Mytilus edulis: one gene and its partners. The protein of the gene in region 3 purifies or fractionates together with the protein of the main gene of each other region. This does not show direct contact. Links are inferred from orthologs where the notes say so. Each region holds a gene or a part of one and is shown on either strand. Other genes may lie near its edges.

Region 1 (3,761 bases), on a different chromosome or scaffold from region 3:
CATTAAAATTAGAAAGATCATATCATAGGGAACATGTGTACTAAGTTTGAAGTCGATTGGACTTCAACTTCATCAAAAACTACCTCGACCAAAAACTTTAACCTGAAGCAGGATAGACGGACGGACGAACGGACAGACGGACGGATGAACAGACGGACACACGCACAGACCAGAAAACATAATGCCCCTCTACTATCGTAGGTGGGGCATAAAAATTAGGAAAGTAGAAAATGGGTTAACAGCAAGGGGACAGACACCTAACAGCAAACCAACTAATGAAATGACATGTAAAGGACAATTTTGCAGCAGTTTGGGAATAAAAATTGTAGCCAGTAGGTACACAATATACTAAATTTGAGGACAGTGATTGAAGAAATGTAAACTAAATAATAGATCAACTATTGATTTTGTGGTGTTTCTCTCAACTGACACGCTTGTTTTTTTCTTGATTATTTATTATTGTCTTGATGTACAATTAAAGCGTCCCTTCTATTTACCAGTTTGACTACAAATAATGTTGACCTTTCATCTATAAATAAGACAAAAACTGAATTTATTTTCCGAATTTCCATAGATAGCCAGGGGCAATCTGATATCCACGAAGTCTGAAATTCTCGCTTCCTTTTTTTTTCCTCCGTTTGCATTTAAGTTTTTCTACTCGACTCATGATTCTATTTGTCTTGCTTGCCCAGCTTTTTATTAAGTATTTGTCAATCTGAATCTCGATACAAAATTTAAAGAAATATCACTTCTGGTAAATGATGGATCAAACTTAATCGACGATCCCGGGTCAATGGACAAAGCCAATGCAATGTTATGCGACTCGGGTTCGCATACTTATTTTTACTTATTTTTACTTATTTTGGTAATCGATCTATTTCCGGTATCATGTAATATTTATCGTCATGAACATTGATGTTTTTACTTGCTGATTATTGGTTTCTTTTACATAAATTAAACATCTTTATACGTTTTGAAATTAATTCTATGTCTTTTTTTTGTTATTTGACTTTTGTCTTTTTTTACTTGTCCACGGGCAACCAAGACAAAAATAATTACTTGTCCAGTTGTTCAAATGTACGAGTCGGGCGAGTCAGGCATAGCGTTTCCACACCCCTGCTTTGTTTACATTGCATATGACGTCATTACTGAAATAAACGTCACAACTAAAATCCCTTACAACATTGTACAAATGAACAAAAATCAAACGTTACAGTATTTCCGTTTTGAAATAAAATATGTTTGAAAAAAAAAAAAAAAAATCATTCAGACTTCGTCTCCCATACCTGCCAACTTTTGAAAATGGCCATGGGGGTTTTTGTGCGCGGCACCATTTTTGAGGGTAGAATTTTTCGCGGCATTTTTTCGTGTGATGATTTGGCTCCTAAAAGTGTCTGACATACTTCTTTTTTTTTTGGGGGGGGGGGGGGGGGGATAGTTGAAGATGCTATTATAACCTATCTTTTTTTAAATTGTTTGATTGTTGTATTCTTTTTGTTGAGATAAACACCAGTAAGATGACTTTATGTTTGTCTGATACATTGTCAAGAAATAAAAAAAAAAGTAATAATTTTAATAATTTAATAACAAAAAAAACAACAATATATGAGGGTCTGGAAATGGGGGGTGGGGGGGGGGAGTGTCTGTTGTTCTGTAAACATTTAGTTTTCACCCCTTTTTTCTCTAATCTTCAAAAAATTAACCTCTTTCTTTTCTAATCTTCAAAAAAATTTGACCACGTATTTCTCCAATTTTCATTTTTTTTTGCCCGTTATTCCCTTATCTTCATTTTTTAAGGGCATTATATTCTTTAATCATTTAACCCCATCCAAACCCTCATATATTATATAGATCAATATCACAAGCAGTACTAGAATGTTTGAAGACATCATTAAGGCCACCGTAGTCAACTTTAAAGTCTCTGTTGCAAACTTTACAAAAGGCATGTGACAATCCTAACGTTGATTTAGACAACCAGCCCCTGTACTTGACATCATTCTCCCATTTCTCTTAGTATTTGCACGAAGCAACACGCTTTTTTTTCTTAGGCGGTGACAGAACTATTTTGCAAGTGATAACTCGCCCATCATGATTCCAATTTTTATAAATTTAACACCCAAGCTAAAAAAAACAACTCAAAATTTCGATTCTTTGATTGTTTACTATGCCGACATTAATCAACTGGTGAATGTGTGATCACTTAATTTTGAACAATGATAGTTACCACGAGTACATTGAAAATTCCTGACTGTAAAATATAACTTTTTTTATTATTGTAACATTTTGATGTCACCATAGCCAGTGCCAATTAATTAAAGTAAAGGTTAATTTGTAAAAATCACATGCATGTTTTAACAAAGTCTTTTCAAATGTAAACAATGAAACATTCGTAAAAACCAACGTTATTTGATGCAACATAGATATATAATTACCGATGAACTGTTAATCGATGATATATGTAGAACAAAATCAAATTAGAATGTAAAGAAATGATTCATTTTGCCTGATTTATGACATATTTTGATGTTTAAAACACTAGACAGGAAATTTCTTGGTCAATAAAAATAGGATTACGATTATCGTAAATTCCGTTTTGAAGTGTTGATGAATAAATAAATGAAATTTCTTCTGAATTAATTTGATGAATGAACAAACATTGTTTAAAGATTAAATGAATATCTTTTGATAATAAATTTTGATTAAAAATTATTTAATTTACGACAATAATCGTAAATCGATTTTCGATCGACGTTCATGAAATGCTTGTAAATGTAACAATAAATGATCATAGTCATAAGCGTTTAAAAGATATTTGTATGTTTTATTTTGTGCGAGCAAAAACATTCAGCGGGAAATGCCCCAAATAAATTAATGAACGAAAATGACAGAATTAGAAGGATCAGAATCCATGGACAAGCCCGTAAACGTACCTGAGGCTCTATTCAAGGACGTCAAATACTATGTCGTTGGCGATATTGCAAAAGAGGTCCAAAATTATTCAATATTTACTAAAATTATCGCTTTCGGGTCGATCCGGCCCCACGTCGATCCGGCCCAAGTCGATCCGTCCCACGTCGATCCGGCCCCACGTCGATCCGGCCCATATGTAAAGTCGATCCGGCCCCAATAAAAAAAATATTTCTAAGGAATAAAAATAAATATATATTAATTGTAATTCATAAATGTTTATTATTATTATTATAATGTTAAAGGTGTACGGTAAACAAATTAAAAAAGGCCTTTGAAAAATATTTTCCTTAGATGAGTATAAAACAACTAGGTTGATTATGTCTTTATTACAAGTTTTCAAGATTATTGGCTATAATTATATTAAAACATATATAAAAGAATTTAGACATCAACATTAATCAGCAGTAATTAGCATTTTCTTATAATTGTGATCCTAACAAGTTTCATCTTGTGTAACATGTAATAACAAATAGTTACATACATGAACGGTACAAGCCGATCCCCAAGCTGATACATATTAACTTTGTTTTTCTTAAGTTCATAAATTTTTTCAAATTAGGAAATGTTGTTTGATTTGCCGAATCGTTTCTATAAAAGAGTGCTGATATTATATTACGGAACATTAATAAATCAGCATTGGATTGAATTAAGTGATTACGAGTGGCATTACCTTAGTTCACAATCATCAGACAACTGTTGAATAAACAAACCAATTATAGACTAATGATTCGATTAAATATTAAAGTCATAATGATGCGTTAAATTTTATAGGTCCATTGGACGGAAAATAT
Region 2 (3,761 bases), on a different chromosome or scaffold from region 3:
ATTGTCACACCTCAGTGTTTACTGTTGACTGGATAGTGAAACAGTTGGTGGACTACTTTAATTGTCACACCTCAGTGTTTACTGTTGACTGGATAGTGAAACAGTTGGTGGACTACACATTCCCACCAAAAGCCCGTTCGCGCCCAATTTTAAATTGCTTTGATGTAAATACTGCATGTATTAACATGATTAAAGGCTTGGTATGATTAAAAAATTGAAGATTTTAAATGAAAAACACGAAAGATATAAATTGTTATTACTTGAAAAAAAAACAGAATCTCACTTTATCTGTTTATTTTAAAGCAATGATATAAAGTTATAGCAATACACTAACCAAAACATGATAAAGAGTTATTCAACACAACAACAAAAAAAAACGTTGACAGAATCTCACTTTATTTAGAAACTGATTTTTTATTTAAACAATACATTACACAATCCAAAACATGATTTAGATTTATTCAACACACAAAAAATGATGAGACATAAAGATTTATTCAACATAAAAACAAAGTTTTGAGACAATGACAAAAAATTATACTTGGAATACAGTGGAGTCCCCGGTGTCCGCGCGGCCGGTGATACCGCGCATTTGCTGATATAGTTATATCAACACCGTAACACAAATGAAATTGTTCTTGTTATTGTTTTAGCATTCCGAAGGGAGAAAAAAGAATAAAATAGATAAGTTCCAGATAGAAATAATAACTGCAATCCCGTGATTTACAATATTTGGCCAATGGCCATTAAAAGAAATTCAGCATCAGATAAAATTTGTTATACTTAACCCTTTCGCCGATGAGTCCCGGTTTACCGGGATTTACGCTTCAGACAGCTGACGATGAGTCCCGTTTTACCGGGATCAGAATACATCTTTTATATTTCCCGCTCAAAACAGTGCAAACATGAGTTATCTTTCTTTCATGAATACCCGGATGAAAGTGTAAACATGTCGCTTCCGTTTGTTGAAAACCTTGTCAAAATCGAAGGAAATTTACGGAATTTACGAGAATTTGAAATGAGGGAACATTTTTTTTGAAAGAATATGGAAGAATTGAAGCCAAACTAGTATACTTTTTTGACATAAAATGTCGTTTTATGTACAAAACACTTGGAATGGACATCGTTCAGTGTGAGGAATTTGTACAGTCTCATAAATTTTTACAAAATTTTGCCGTTTTGAGTTAAAAAATTACGATTTGGGGTCAAAGAGCAGAATTTTGAGAATTTCACATAAATAATGCCGAAAATTTGAAAATTTGAATATTTTATGATAAAAAAATTATCAAAACATAAACAAAACTGTGAACATTGTGTTAGTGAATGAAATAAATACACAAATAACTACAAACAAGTTTTTATTGACATTTATTATGAAGATCTCCCACTTGAGTAAAAGTAGCCAGGGAAGCTATCGTCTCAGAGTAGCTTCTGTCTGGGCAGCAATCGGTGAAAGGGTTAAGTCAATTTTTTATCAAATTGAAATAATTTTTGCTCTGCATCATTGGCAGTGTGCTTGGTTTGAATTTAGCTACCTTTTGTAGCAGCAAATCTTTCCTCTATTCAAAATAAGCTATTTTTGGAAGGCATGCGCGAAATCACCGGACATTGGAGGAACTCTCAGAAATGGGTTTCCCCAATTTTGGAAACCCATTACACAAAATCTTGAGGGTGAAACCCTACAAACTGATAAGTTTATGAAATAAAAGTATGTTATGAATGTATTCACACAATATTATCCAATTATTGGTTTTATCAGTTAAATGAAGTGAAGACATAAGTCTTAGGTGCGCGGATACACCGGACTGCACCGTACATATGTAAAGGAATACACTTGGCAAAACTTAATTACAAAGTCATTAAACACAAAACCAATGAAAATAACTGGGCGCAAACGTGTAGAGTGCTAACGGACTCTGGGTGCAAAAGTGTAGGGTGCGAAAGTGATAGGGTGCGAACAAGACTGAGCGTGAACGTGAATGGGAGCGAACAGACAGGGATTTGTGTGTCAGTCTCATCTCATAGCATATAAAATCCAAATTGGCCATACATGTTGTACAAAATAAGACAGCCTTTTTCAATGAACATCATGAATCCATTATTATTGCTATAATTAAATAATTGCTGGTATAAGTGAACATTTTAGATAGAACAGCTTTAAATTATGGAATATGCACCCTTTCTTTCATTCTCCAAGTCTGGGTAACTTTCTTTGACCCTTCAATTTTTTCCCAGTGACGAAGTTCGTTAAAGGCAACGAGAACATTCCAGTCGGACAGCTCATCATCTTCATCAATCAAAGGCGTCAGTTCAAAATCACTTGACATTTTGAATAAAGAGGTTTACAAATATGTTATTTGCAATTATCTCAAACTGTCAATGTGATGGAAAAGAATAAATTTGACAGAGTAAGGTGTCATGCTTTTTTCATCGGCCATGTTTACTTTTTTACATTCGTAGTCTCTAATTTAGTATGATATAACAGCTTTATTCCATCACATTCGATTTTCGTTATATTGTAAAATATTTTTATATTTTAAATAGATTTTGATATATTACATTTCGAAATCGAAAAGTTAAAGATTGTTAAAGACTATTTGTGGTCGATATCGAAAGTGAAAGTACAAGTTGTAAAGGCGGGAATTATGAGTAAAAAAATCGAATCAACGACAACTCGTCCTTCTTGAAATCGTCCCACAACAAATCGACTTATAGTTCGTAAAAAAACCCACTCCATTCTTCTTTACCAACTCGTCCTACTTAGAAAAAAAATAACGACCACAATAATCACACGAATTTAGGACAGAAAGTCACAGGACAAAAGGTCACAGACAAAAAGTCAAGGACAAAAAGTCGCAGGACAAAAAGTCACAATTCATTTTTTCTGATTATTTTCTTTGAATAACAAACGATTATTTTTACAAAAATATTTTTGTATTTTTCTTGAACTTTTGTACATAAACCAACTTTGTTAACAAATATTTATAAAAAAATATCAAAGATCATAGTGCCAAGAAATCTTTCATTTGCATGATTAAAATTAAATAAATCCTAATTTTTCAAGCATAATGACACATTTCCTACACTAAAAATGAATATATGTATTTTTGTCCTACCAAATTTGTGACTTTTTGTCCTGTGACTTTCTGTCCGTTTAACTAATCACAATACAGTGCCACCTTTCTGGGACGTACGTGAGCATATGGCCTCAGCCCCTATGGATGAGGGTATGGATGGGGGGGTCTGTTATTCTGTAAACATTTAATTTTCACCCCATTTTTCTCTAATCTTTAAAAAATTAACCCCTTTTTTCTCTAATCTTCCAAAAATTAACCCTTTTATTCTCTAATCTTCTATTTTTTGGCTCATTATTCTCTAATCTTTATTTTTTAAGGGCATTATTCTTTAATCATTTAACCCCATCCAAACCCTCATGGATTTTACTAACCCTCTATGGATCCGTAGGGGGTCAGTACTGTAACAAACCATATAACTTATAATAGTTGACACAGTAAATGTGGGCGAGTTGATAAAAAAGGGGGGTTTTGCCAGTGTGTTGATTTCCAGTACAGGATTGTTCCTCTTCACCAGACTCGATTTCTCCCCTGAACTAATATAATAAAATCAGTGTAATAAATCTCTTCATTCATCCAATATTGTTTGTGACGTCACTATAGTCGTTTTTAACCGAGACATTGATGGAGGAGGCTTTGATTTGTTGGTATATATATATATATATTGACACTGACAGTTTGTTTCCT
Region 3 (3,761 bases):
TTACCTTGATAACCCTAATCAAGATGTGCCTGCTATGGTCTCAATGACATGTATATTCACTCCTTGTGTATAGTACTCTGCCCCTCCACATCATCTCAATTCATTTTTGCACATATGTGTTGCATTTACCCTTTATTAAATAAGTTAGTACATAAGCATCACACGATGAAACTTTCCTGTGGATAGTATGTTGAAACTGATTTGGATACTAGGGGCTGAATATTTTTTTCGTGCCAAAAAAAATACATATTTAAGATTGTAGGGAGGACCCGTCGATTGTGACATGCGGATATGAGTTCGCCTCTGTACGACATTAAAAAAATCATATAAATTCAAGTTTAATGGACTTTTTACTTACAAAAAAACCTTAGAAGTATTGGAAATTATTAAAATTTATATATTGACTGAAAATGTTTTGAACTCAGAAAAGTATCGATATAGTACAGATATATTTTATGCAACCCATAGAGCATATTAGAGATTTTTTTTTTTACTAATATGACTCACTGTACGGTTCTGAGCCTGTGGTTTTACGAGAGACATGTGTATATATGTCTCTGGGTTTTATATCTTAGAAATAATTTCTATGCATATTTCAGGATATTTGAAGTTATCAGTAACATTATTGTCAGTGGCGGATCCAGAAATGTTCATAAGTGGGGGCCCACTGACTGACCTAAGAGGGGGCCCGCTCCAGTCACGCTTCAATGATTCCCTATATAAGCAACCATTTTTTCCCTGCCCCTATCATATATACCATATCTAACTCCTATATTTCATCTTAAACCATTAAAATATTACGTGGCGCGAATATTAACATTTGCCGGAACATTCCTATATTTGTTTCCGACATTTTGTTTTCTCTGTTAGATTTTTAGAACTGGTGCCCTGTTTTCCTTACAGTTTGGTGTACCTTTACTAGTCAATAAAGTTTCAGTACATACGCGTCTGAACGGGAACATTCTAGAGAAAAGAAACACTACTGACACAATTTTTAGACCAGAAAGGTTTTAGTAAGACTGCAAAAAAGGTAAATGACATATTAGTGCATACAAAAATCTCCGTAAATCATAATTTTAGTCTCCAATTATTAACGAAACGATATCGTTATTTACTTCACATGGTATTTTGGTAACCATGTGGTTTACACCCCCCTTTTATGTCAGAGGTAGTTACTACTGCATATACTTTATCGTTTACGGTGTGGATTGAGTTTAACATGTTCAGATAAAAGATATAGTCCTAATAGATTAATATATCAAAATTATACATTATCATAACCTTAATAAATTAGAAATTAACATTTTTTACAACTCCTCCATGTGTTTATATGTGTTTTTGGGATATTTAGAATGCATTGTGACCATTGAAAAAGCTTAGTACAATTTCATATGTTTACACAAACATATAATCTAATGATAGACAATTAAAACATATCACCTGAATTTAAAATGCCAAAGAAAAAAGTCCGTATATTATCATTGACATTGTGATGGGTTTATGTCCTTAGAACATGTAGACATTGATGTGTAAAGGTAATGTCCACCTAGAAAATTTCAATTAACCTGTATTGACCACTTGATGAGACATTAAAAATCATACTCTTCTGTAGTCCAAATAAATATGATGTCTTGAAAGGCTTTCATACTTTTACTTTATGATTAAATCATGGCGCTTATGCATATGAGGATGTGGGGGATCGAAGGGGTGCTGATCCCAAAATACCTGTCTAAAAACATGTAATCCTGAAGGTCTGAATTTAAAGAAATTTGAATCCTGACATCCCAAAATTTGAAAAAAGAATTCCCAGATCCCGAAAGGATCAATCCTGAAATCCTGAGCTAATAAACACCTGATACCAGAGTCCTGACAAAAGTCAGACTCCCTCTCATACATTTTTGATATATTATACATCCACATGTGTATGTCACTGAATTTACTTTATTATGAAAGAAAACCTTTATTGCAGATGTCGTCATTAGCATTGAACCCTATACAGATTTTCAGCCAAGGAGCTGAAGAAGAGAAGGCAGAAACTGCTAGATTGGTAAGCTCATACTATTTGAGAAATTTCCATGAAAGGATAACTTGTTAACAATATTAAGTTATTAACCCTCTTCCTGCCACTACTTTTATATGGTTGCATTTCCTGTGCCAGAAAATACTACAGATGGATGTTTGTGACATACCCAAAAATGACGTCTATCAATAAACATTGTATGAGCTCACATCTTAAATGAAAGATTCAGCAGATTCAAAGCACCTGTTTTTTTCCATCTCCATTTATTTTTTATATTGAAACTTTAAATAGTTCAATTCAAGTCATTTTTTTCTAATGGCATGTTCAACATATGAAAACTACAGGATTTTGATATTAAAATATATAATTGTCATTAATATTAGAGTTACATTTTTTAAAAAAACTTGAAAGAAGTAAGACATTATTTTAAAAAATTACCATATCATATGGTCATTCATTTGTTTATGCTTTTGTTTAAAATTTTATGTTAAGTTTAGTGCAAACATAAATCATCTACTTTCTTTGACATACATGTATATCAGTCAAGGGTCTAACTTAAATAAGTTATTAGAGAAAATAACATGCATGTTGTTATTGTGGGCTAAATTATCAAAAACTGTGATGACATATATGTATGTTACCTGTTTTAAAGGGAAAATATACAACCTTGATTTTGTAAAATTTTTCTCAAGTTCTATTAATATAATTTTCTTTATGTATACTTATCTTTGCAAAGATATACCAGCTCATAGTTTACTAATCATACATAGTACACCTACATGTATGTTATTACAGAAAATATATTCCAAAGGGTGTTATTACAGCTTCTCTATATCTCTTTAGAGGCTTTGCTCTGACATTCATAACAATGTATTTCAATTCATTGTAAATATGATGATCAGAGCTTTTAATGAGGCACTGCGCAAGATTCCAAGTGTCTCATTTACTCTCATATAGTAAGTTACATGCTTGTAATAACTAAGCCTTGTTATTACAGCTTAGTTTGCCCTTAACGGCCTTGTCTCATTGATTTACCATGGTTGATCAAAATTGTATAAATGGAATTAGAAAATTAGTTATCAAGGTAATATATTAAGCTACTGCGCAAAGTTTTAAGAATTCTCAAGTGCCCATTAAAGATAAAATATATTTAACTGATAACAAACATGTTATTACAGATTAAGGAAAAAAGAGTTATTACAGATTAAGGAAAAAAGAGTAGACAAGTCATGAAAGTTTCTGTAATAACACATGCATGTTATTTTTCTCTGATAACTTATTTAAGTTGGACCCTTGACTGTATTTTGTAATTGAATTTTTGGTTCTTGATAGACACATCAAAATACACCTCAAAATATTTTGAAAAAATCAGATCAGCAATTGTGGTAATATGAGGTAGGCATTACCTGTGAAAGGAGACGAAGTCTGTATGAATTATTTTTTTTAAATTCCAACATATTTTAATTTCAAAATGGAAATACCGATTTTGGTTCTGTTGTTAAGGATTTACTTGTGACGTTATTTAAGTTATGACGACATGTTCAATGTAAACAAAGAAACGCGATCATCAGGTTTATTCATATCAAAGACAAAAGAATTATTAAAAATGAAATTGATGTTGTATTCCTTGAGTTTCTATATATTTTCTAGACTACTCAATAGTTGCATGACACCAAGACCGGAAGAAGGAAGTAGATTTCTGCGTTATGCGCAAATGCGGGAATTAAAAAAAGTGACCAAA

The links.
Region 1: the proteins of T-complex protein 1 subunit beta-like (region 3) and DDB1- and CUL4-associated factor 7 purify together in Homo sapiens (affinity purification with mass spectrometry; 4 studies listed by BioGRID and IntAct, counting the BioPlex papers as one, with this or other methods). This does not show direct contact. The link is inferred for Mytilus edulis from reciprocal best matches to the Homo sapiens genes CCT2 and DCAF7.
Region 2: the proteins of T-complex protein 1 subunit beta-like (region 3) and regulatory-associated protein of mTOR-like purify together in Homo sapiens (affinity purification with mass spectrometry; 3 studies listed by BioGRID and IntAct, with this or other methods). This does not show direct contact. The link is inferred for Mytilus edulis from reciprocal best matches to the Homo sapiens genes CCT2 and RPTOR.

Annotation. Positions count from the first base shown.
Region 1 is NC_092350.1:66,547,438-66,551,198, forward strand, and holds the start of DDB1- and CUL4-associated factor 7, read right to left. Parts: upstream 2,584-3,761; 5' UTR 2,433-2,583; intron 1-2,432. Other genes in the region: PAX-interacting protein 1-like, read left to right, coding at 2,882-2,986. UniProt on the Homo sapiens protein: Involved in craniofacial development. Acts upstream of the EDN1 pathway and is required for formation of the upper jaw equivalent, the palatoquadrate. The activity required for EDN1 pathway function differs between the first and second arches.
Region 2 is NC_092352.1:4,900,230-4,903,990, forward strand, and holds the start of regulatory-associated protein of mTOR-like, read right to left. Parts: upstream 2,476-3,761; 5' UTR 2,328-2,475; coding exon 2,178-2,327; intron 1-2,177. UniProt on the Homo sapiens protein: Component of the mechanistic target of rapamycin complex 1 (mTORC1), an evolutionarily conserved central nutrient sensor that stimulates anabolic reactions and macromolecule biosynthesis to promote cellular biomass generation and growth.
Region 3 is NC_092353.1:27,030,537-27,034,297, reverse strand, and holds the start of T-complex protein 1 subunit beta-like, read left to right. Parts: upstream 1-856; 5' UTR 857-1,030; intron 1,031-1,969; coding exon 1,970-2,047; intron 2,048-3,761. UniProt on the Homo sapiens protein: Component of the chaperonin-containing T-complex (TRiC), a molecular chaperone complex that assists the folding of actin, tubulin and other proteins upon ATP hydrolysis.